3 separate regions of the Mus musculus genome follow, and all the other regions are reported to be linked to region 1. The links are microRNA targets in miRTarBase. Many come from high-throughput screens and were not tested one by one. Region 1 holds a microRNA gene; each other region holds the end of a gene's coding sequence.
What was found. Region 1 holds the annotated microRNA mmu-miR-1952 (UCUCCACCCUCCUUCUG, at 1,638-1,654, shown strand). A microRNA usually pairs through its seed, bases 2 to 8, with sites in the 3' UTR of a target mRNA and lowers its output. Matches are read on the target gene's strand: a 7mer-m8 pairs with bases 2 to 8, a 7mer-A1 pairs with bases 2 to 7 and ends in A, and an 8mer does both.

Region 2: miRTarBase lists Shisal1 as a target of mmu-miR-1952. Seed matches in the 3' UTR shown: 7mer-m8 at 47-53.
Region 3: the mRNA of Coro2a is a reported target of mmu-miR-1952. Seed matches in the 3' UTR shown: 7mer-A1 at 619-625.

The regions. Positions count from the first base shown.
Region 1 is chr2:138,818,306-138,821,412 of GRCm38, forward strand. Mir1952 (microRNA 1952) reads left to right here and starts at 1,624; the gene lies at 1,624-1,702.
Region 2 is chr15:84,381,883-84,384,989 of GRCm38, forward strand. Shisal1 (shisa like 1) reads right to left here. Exons shown (of 5, transcript NM_001374162.1): 5 at 1-2,510. The coding sequence ends at 2,510. Among named protein-coding and RNA genes, the nearest start is that of Gm46527, 47 kb to the right of the region's middle.
Region 3 is chr4:46,536,601-46,539,707 of GRCm38, reverse strand. Coro2a (coronin, actin binding protein 2A) reads left to right here. Exons shown (of 12, transcript NM_001164804.1): 12 at 441-2,771. The coding sequence ends at 572. It overlaps Gm16731 (predicted gene, 16731), which reads right to left. Exons shown (of 4, transcript NR_151695.1): 2 at 2,385-2,537; 3 at 268-616; 4 at 1-162. Among named protein-coding and RNA genes, the nearest start is that of Trim14, 2.0 kb to the right of the region's middle.

The sequences.
Region 1 (3,107 bases):
TCTATATTAAGATAGACTATTAGTATTCCCACAACTCAAGAGGCGAGCCCTCATGGATTAAACCAAGACTAGACTGGTAGAGAACATGTCTTTGTTCTATGTGATATATACATATTCCCACTTTTTAAAAATCATTACTTGTATCAGAAACCAACTCCTAATGTTAGTGGCTTCAACTAAGAAATATAATTTTTATTCACCGTAGTGTATTGTGGCTTCCTAAGTACCAGGCATTTGTTCAAAGACTTATCCTCCTTCCATCTGTGAGTCGCTCTTTCTTTTGTCAGCATGTTCTCTACTTGATAAAGCTGGTAGGGTTTCCAATAATGGTCCTAGAAGTGAAGACCTTGGATTCACAAACATTGCACTAAACAGATCTAATATATTTATACAACAGAGACTAGACAGTAAAGGTGACCTACGTGTTCAAGTTTGAGTGCAGAAGAGACCCTAACTACACAAATACTAACAGCCTGTGAAGAAGCAGAGCTAGGAAGTTGTCAGGAGTAGAAGCATATGTGTAGAGAAGATTATTTTCCCATATCCCATATCACCATACCAACTATGCAAAGCTCTCTTAAGAGTAAATTGATAGGGTCATAGTAACTAATACAGTAGCCCTTGAATAAAACATAGTTGCTCTAGACTGACAAGGTACAAGGGCATTTTCGTTGACCCAAAGGCAATCAAGAAATAATGTATGACTCTCTTGGCCTTTTTGCTGTCACTCTGTCGTCTTCTTCATGCTCCTCCTCTCTCCCCATTCCCCTCCCCCTCTCTCCAGGTGCTCATGGCTGGTCCTCTACTCTCTCTCTCCCTTTCTCTGTCTTTACTACCCTCTCAACTCCTTCCCATGCCCTGAATAAACTCTACTTTATACTAAAAAAAAAGGAAAGAAAGAAAGAATGTGTGTTAATAAACATGTTCTAAATTCTCACCTGGTAGTAGATAAGTCATAGGAATAAAGAAATTATGTGTGGGAAGGGGTGTAGGGGCTAGTAAGGTTTAAAACTGAAGCTGAATGCCTCTCTCAGCCCCTCAGAATACTCATAGACTCTAAAGAGGTAAAGGTTCTCATCCTGACTTGAACTTCTTTCTGCTTTCTCTTTTCTACTTGTTTTCCACAGTAAAGAGGCAACCCACATTGATACTGTTTCATCTGAAACACTAGGTATCTACAAAGGTCTGAGGTTTTTCTAGGCTATCTACTCGATCTGAAGTTGATGCTGGCTCACAACAGGGGCGTCACCTGAAAGTTAAATTGATGTTAGCCTCAGGAGACTATGAGGTTTTTGCCTCTAGTAGGGGGTGTTTATGGAGATGGTTGCTTCATCCACAGTGCCTGACCCTTTGGTCTCAACTGGTACAAACGTGAAGGCAAATCTCCTCTAGAGCAGATGTTTGAGCTGGAGTTGGCTGGAAAGTTGGGCAGCATTTTAACTCTGCACACTACCCACTTCCTCACTTCTTTACAGGCCCATATCCCATGCCCCAGAGCATCCTCTCATCAAAGTTCTTCTAGACCAGAAGTCCATTTTCAGGAGATGTGAATACAAACAGGATGAAACACAAAGTCTAAATAAATGTTGGTATTGAGACAAGGCAAATATTGCAGCCACCTATCCCTCTCTTATTGATCTCCACCCTCCTTCTGTGCAGGCTTATTTCCTGCTCCAAGGTGTGGATGACAAAAGAGATGGAAGTATGGGGGGGCGGGAGGGCACACAGAGGCTTTCATAAACCCTCTCTGCTTTTCTGCTGCTTCTCCTGTTCTTGCATATCCCCCACTTCTGCCTTCTGTTAATGCTAATTCAAGGTCTAAAAATAGATTTTTCTTCTTTGCAAGGCAGCATATAACATACTTCATCCTTTTCTTCTGTTCAAAGTTTGTGGTTTTCTCTGTCTGACTGCAATCTCCTTATGTTGTAAGAAAAAGTCTGAAAGGACAGTGCATGTGAGTGTTCCTGGGCATGCACACATGCATGTGTTGTGCATGTAGGTAAATTAAGTATATGCATATCTTGACACAATGCAAAAAGATTTAGGAACTTATTTGCACTTGGATTGCAGAGCACTGTGAAAGAGCTTGGAATATGATTAGGCTTCCTATTTTCCTCCAACTTCGGTCACCAGATCACATCATCTTCTAAAATTATCCAGGTATCTCAGATGCCAAAGAGTTTCCTGACTATAATTTTAAATTCATAAGCACCATTTCTCAAAACTACGTTTCCCGAAGGTTCTAGAGACCTGAGACTATAGCCACACACGGAGTGAGCATCTTCCACTCCAGATTGTTGTAGGTGTAAAATCCACAGGCAGATTGTCCCCCAGGAAAGGCTGCCAGCCAAGCCATTTCACTGGGGATGGAACTTGGGAGGATGGTGAGTCATGTAACTGAGAAGAAAGTGGCTGATGGCTAGAACATAATGAGCCAAACACCCTCTTAGGATGAGGATGGAAGACACACGTTTGTGGGCCACTTTCAGCCTCTCATAGCCTGCTGACTTTTGTTAAAAGTGTATCTCTAGCCCCACATTGTTAGAATTGTCACCAAGATACATTGCATGTTATATAAGAGCAGTGTCCCTGAAAAGTGCTTATGTGTTGCTCTTCCCCATCATTCCTTGGATCTCTCTGTCCTACAGGGAGTCCAGGAAATGAAGTCCTCAGCTGGGAGGCAGTCATTTGGAACTCTGTAGCTCCCATCCCAGGGCAGGGAATGCAGATGACCCTGGCCTTTCCTTGTTTGACTACACAATGTGATTTTTTTTCTCAAACACTTAAGAGAAAAGCATCGAGGAAAGCAAACCAGGTCCAGCAACTTCTTGGCTGCAGAGTTGTCCTACTTTCTTTCTTAGAAGTCACTGCGGCTCTTGCTCTCTTCCCAGTCACAATAGATGATAATAAGAGCCTGATTCCCTGTGTCTGCTCTCACTGAAGCCATGGGAGAAAGTAGCCTCTCTCTTCTCTAGGATCTTGGAGCACAAAACACCTTCCCCTTCATGCCTGATCAGGTTCTAAAGATCCACCTTCGGCTTTTCCTTCCCCATTAGCATACCCTCTCCACTTTGGCTTAAGAGCTTTCTGTAGTGGAATGCACCTTT
Region 2 (3,107 bases), not on the chromosome of region 1:
ATGGGGACCTTCAGCTATTATCCCCTAAGAGGCCTCTGATGGGGACCTCCACCCCCCCACACACACACCCAGTATCCTGCTGTCTGCATGGCCATGACCCTTCCTGTGTCTGAGGAAGGAGGCTTCACAGAGGAAGTAGCTCTGAGCCCTGTGCAAGCAGCTTCGAGAGTGTTACCCAGAGCCACCCCAAACCAGAAGTCTCCTCAACATCTGGTTGGGCTCCTTCCTCTCAGTACTGGGGAAACTGAGGCAGGAGGGCCTGTGATCACTTTGCTCAGGTGCTATCAGAATCTCTATCTTAATAGCCCCCGAATCCTCTTCCCTACAGAAGCTCTCTCTTGAGGCGTTAAGTGTGACCTGATGCAGCCAGTCCACTGCTAAGAACCCTCCAGGGCAATGGCTGCCCCACACCCTAGGATGTGGGAGAGGATCCACACCCATCTTTAATCAAGATGGATGCAGAGGCTCTCCTGGGTGTGTGCAGAACCCAGCAGTGTGTCTGAGAGAAATGGACTGGGTGCAGAGACAGAGGCCAGCAGGCTCAATAGGCCTCTAGAGCCGTCAGAGTGACAGCTTCCGTGCCTACAAATGGGGCCATCCCTCCCTCATGTGGGTTGAAGAATGAAGAACCTGCCAGAGTGGAAAGAGTTTTATGTCCTAGAACCCAGCACTGTCAGTGGTGACACACTGTGTAGACGCCCTTATGGTGACTGCAGAGAATCACTACGGTAACCACAGAGACCCGCAGGTGGATCCATCCCTTCACCTCTGCTGCTCCTGGCCACCCTGGATTGTTTACTTTTAGGAACCTGGCAGGCAGGAACCTCTAGATTGGCTGCAACTTTCCCAGGTTCACTCCTCTTAGCTAGATCCTGTTTAGACCCCGGCTTAAACATCTCTGACCACCCAAGCCCCACTCGGCCTCCATGATAGACCTTTGTGGTCTTCATGAACACCTCCACGCTGGCCCTTCCTTCCTTGCTGCCTTTGCCTATTGTTCTCCGCAGTGTGGGGAGGGAAGACCACCAACCGTGTGGGGACAGCACTGATCAAGGAAGGATGCAGCTTCAGGAAGAATGGGTCACAGGCTGAGGGCAGGGAGGGACAGTTTGGCCTCCTTCATAGGGGTGAGATGGCCCTGTCTACATTGCCAATGTGACCTCTGGAGATTGACAGGGTCACTTCTGGGGGATGTCCTTCCTTTTGGGTGCCACAGGCAGTGGGTTTTGGGGCAGAGATAACCTCTTTGGGCAGATGTTACAGGCACCCAGGCTTACTTGGAAACCCCCATTGTAAGTGGACAGATTCATAGAACCCTCTGTTCTGGGTTTCCATAGGACCCATCGTTGTGGCTGTGTTTCCTCCGTTCGAGGTGTGGCAGCTCCCACCCACCTCTGGACCTTACCACTGCCTGGCCTGGTGCACAGCAGGCCCATGGCCAGAGTGAGCTCAGGCAAAGACAGTGGAGGACCTGAGCTGGGGAGGTGCTGCACTCACTGTGAAAATGTCAGGCACCTGCTCCAGTGACCACACTGGGGGACCTGGGTTATAGAGCCTGTTACACCCTGGGAATCAAAACTTGGGCTTGGGTTCTTGTCACTCTGGGGCCAAACTATGGAGTTGATCACTTCCTGCCATATAAATGTGGCACCCTTCACCAAGCTGCACTCTTTCCAATGACATTAGCACCCCCACCTCCTAGGGGCTGTGATGGTGCACACAACAACACATCCAACCTAGGCCGCACACAGCCAGTTAAGATGCTTCCTCAATACAGCTGCCATGGGAACAGATTCCACCAGAACCACCTGTCACTGGTACGCTCCAGTCCCCCACTGCTTGCGGCATGGACAGGAAGGTTAGGCACTGTGCCTACCGACTCCACTGGTTCACAGTTGTTGGCCACAGCAAGAGGCCTGAGCCTCAAACGAGGACACGGGCAAGACTCCTCAGCCACACAGCAACTTGTGCTCATCGGAGAACCTGCAGCCAGTGGCAATGGGGCTCAATGACAAGCTAACTGACTGAACATATAGAAACACCCTGATCACACACGTGCGCGCACACACTCAAGTTCAATATTCCGACACGGATAGGCCTAAGGGGGCCGCTATTGGAGGGGATGGAGGCAGGGGAAACGTCAGTGTTTTGGACCATGGTACAACTCATGGCCCCAAATCCCTCTGGCTGGGATCAGCCAGAGCAGCTTAGTGTTGGTCACCTCAATCCACACGGAGTCTCTTCTCAGAAGCCACCAGCCCCAGAGAGAACTATTGCTTGCAGACAGGTGGCTCAGAGCCCCTTTCCTGCACCCTGTCCCCGGACCCTGAGTTTGCTCCTAATCTCAGAAGTTCACGGAAGGGGGTTCTGGGCACAGGTGGTACTTCCTCTTTCGTTACCACGCCGCTGCCCCAGCTCTCCCCGGTGTCTTGGTTGAAGCTGCTCTTGGAGGCTGCACCAGGTGCTCTGGGTCTAGCCTCCTCCATCCTGAGGCACAGCAAAAGGGTTTTCTGGAGAGAGTGGAAGAAAGAAGTACCAAGCGTTAGAGTGAGGAAAAAGCCAAGAACGTATGACATTTGTACTTTGGGCACAAGGAAGTCTGTGACACTGCGGTTGTGTGGGATACTCGAGCTCCTGGCCCATGCAGTAACATATGGAGTATCAGGACTTGTATACAGAAACCCAAATCCCAATTAACTGCGTGCAATCTATCTGGGAAATCCAACAGAGCCAGCAGGCTGCTTATTAAAGCAGGGATTGCAAAGATAAATACATTTCTCACTCTTTGAGCCATCCGATCAACTTATAAGGCCAGTGACATTCATCTCCCACAGCTTGACTATATATCTTGGCTTGAAACAGTTCCAGAGAACACCTGTCATTGAACATAATTTTTAAAATACCCTTTAGCCTTCCAAAGTACTCTGATTTGAGTGAAAATATATCTTTGTGTAATGAGCTAACAATTGTTCAAAATGAATACAGATGCCATTCATATGAATTAAAAAAAAATCCCACTGCACCTCTTGGACCCACACTTTTGGACAGGTCTCCATGGCTTTGGGCCAGATCAAGTCATGGAAAAGAACCCAAGGCTTCCCTGGATA
Region 3 (3,107 bases), not on the chromosome of region 1:
GGTATCCACAAGCTGGAGGCGGACAGAGATAGATGCTGGCACTCAGCTTTCAGCCCAGGATCTCATCCCATTTGTTAATGCTACCCACAGTTAGGATGGATCAATCTAGAAACTCCATAGGTGATTCTAGATCCTGCTGCATTGTTAAAATTGAATAGAGTCCTGTGATGGGGAAGAAAAAAAAAAGTTTTCAGGCTTCCGGTCCAAAGAGCCTTTGCTCTACCCCTCAGGGATCTGGGAAGGACAAATAGAATACAAACAAGCTACCGGAACTTCACTGTTGGGTAAAGCAAGCAAGGCTTTCGTCACGGCTCAGAAGTGACTGTCCCTTGCTAATAATTTAACGGCTGTCACCAAGTCAGAAGTGTGTGCCTCAGCCTCTGTGCTGTGGCCTATCCCGGCCACCCAGATGACCTCTCCCTCTTCACTGTGCTTCACAGCTGCTGCAGATGTTCTACCGGCAACAGGAGGAGATCCGGAGGCTCCGGGAGCTGTTAATCCAGAGAGAAGTCCAGACCAAGCAGCTGGAACTAGAGATCAAAAACCTGCGGATGGCCTTAGGACAGCTCTGAGCAGTGCTCTCCTCCACCCTTGCCCTCAGGGACACCGATAGGCTCTGTGGAGAGAGAGAGAGAGAGAGAGAGAGAGAGAGAGAGAGAGAGAGAGAGAGAGAGAGAGGTCCAGCACCGAGCCGAAATTCACTGAGAACAACCACTATTTCTATATTTTATACCAGGAAAACAAAACTCTCAGTTGCTGAAAGAGATCCCAGTGGGACGTGGTGCCGCTTTCCTGTCGCCTTCTCCAATCTGCAGTTCCTGCCCTGGCTGGTTTAGATTATACCCTACCTTCTGCTGGATTCTGGTTTTAAGGGTTGGTGAGGAGCTATGACCTCCCAGAGTGAAGATTTGGCCCAATTCTAAACCACAGGCAGGCAGCCAAACCCATCCTTCCAACCAGAATCAGCCACATGTGGGTAGATCGTCCCATAGGTGGGGACACAGACCTCAGAGCTGAGTCCATGTCTGTTGACTACAAGAGGGCAGGAACGGACTTCCACCCAGGGTATCTAAAGTCCTCTGGGAGGTAGGGGGGCCCAGCACTGGATGTGGCAAAGCCCCATGGCCAGCCACCAGTAAGGGCTCTGGTTCACTGCACTGGGTGAGAAAATGGCACCTGGTCTGAAAGCCTGCGACCCTCCCTTGTGTGTCTTGTGCCTGGTTCTGAGGCTCTTTTCTTTCTTGGTGCAAAACAAGCCTAGCTGGTGCCTGAGAACTTGAGACAAGGCTTACCACAGGAGGTACCCACTCCCCCATACCTCCTGGACAAGCAGACAGAGTTCCCCCCTCCCCCCTTCCCCTCTGGACAGATAGTTTCCCCCATCACTCAGGGTCATGCTGGAGCTCAAGCGAGAATTTCAGGGGCTATCCAGGCTAACAGGTTCTGACCCACATCGTCCATTAGCACCCCACTGGATGCACATACTGATGACCAGACCTGCCCACTAAAGCTGACCCTACAGTGGAGGGTACGGCCCTCTGAACAAGCTGCCTGAGTGGCTTCTGTTCATGGGAATGGAGACGCTTTTAGCTAGCATCCTACTGCTGTGTTGGCAATGGAAGCAGTACAAAGCTGACTCGCACACGACCACGTCACTCACCGTCGCTGGTATCTGCACACACCAGGGTCCTGTGCTCCTTGGTTTATTCTCCATCCCTACACTACACTGGGACTCTATGCCCGGCGATGAGCTAGCTATGCTCGCCTTCCTTGTGCTCCCGAGTATGGCAGGGATCTGGAGCTCCTGGGATGGCGCGCTCTCTCTCCTTTCATTTGTGACCAGCATGTCAGTCTGTAAAGCTCCAACCCCATGCTCAGAAGGCAGGAGGGCCACATAGTGAAGACACCAGCCCAAAACCACTGGCTGCCTCTTATGTGTGGCTAGGGGTGGGGTCCAGTGAGCTTCCCATCAAATCTCTGTACAACACCATCCCCTCAAAAAAAAGCTATCCCCACTGTAAGGGACCCAGACCCAGACCTCACATTCAGGAACAGGTCACAGGTGGCTATGAACAAAATTATATGTTGTTTCTTGTTCTGTTGGGTTTTTTTTTACATCTAGAATAAATTATTTAAATTATTTCATAGCAAGGGAGAGGGATATTTGTCATCTTTTTTTTCTTTTGAAGATTTTGTCATATTTTTTTAAGATTATGTTTTTATGTTCTTGGGCTAATGGAGCAACACTGCCCCCTGACACAGTGACCACCCAAGCAGCAAAGCCGCCCTCGGCTCCTTCCTTCTTGCCTTGGGAGCTTTCTTTCTGATGACTCAGGAACTTTGTGTGAATGAGGGAGAACGCTTGGAGATGAGCTTGTACCCACCTTAGCTCTACAATAATTCTGCTTCCTAGAACAAAACTTGAGGTTGTATCCCAGAGGGAAACGGGAATCAAGATACGGACCTATGCTTTTCATATGAAACCGTGCCTGAAGCCGTTTGAGTGATTGTTTGAATGTTTCTTAAATTCCTTGTACCTTTGTAAAAAAGTAAATAAAAAAATAATTAAGAAATAAAAGTTAAAATAGACACAGAATCGTGCAATGTAAGAATATGACAATCTACTGTGGGTGGTAATTCCTGCCTGTAATCCCAGTTCATGGAAGGCTGAGGCAGGAAGATTGAAAATTCCAGACCAGCTTGGGCAAAGGAGTCTAAGACTCTGCCTCAACCAAAATAATAATAAATAATAACACCAGACTCGATATTGCAATGCTTGGCGATTTCCTTTTTGTTAATTCGTTCTACAAGTACCAATTTAGCACTAGGTGTCTGGACCAGATGATACCGGACCAGGTTGGCAAACTGGTCAGTAAGGTCCGAATACCCTTGAAGTGCTTCCACTTGTGTTTGAGAGAATTCGTGAGGGGCAGGATGGGGCAGGGTGGTCAGGCGGCTGTGGGTGGAGAATGGACGCTTCCTGAAGAAGGAGATAAGCCACACCTCCATGTGATTGGGGGACAGTGAGCAGCAGCTATACCTTAAGCAAGAACTGCAAAATGCCCCGGCTAGAAACAGGGTGGGTCATTCACCCATCAAGGCAAGAG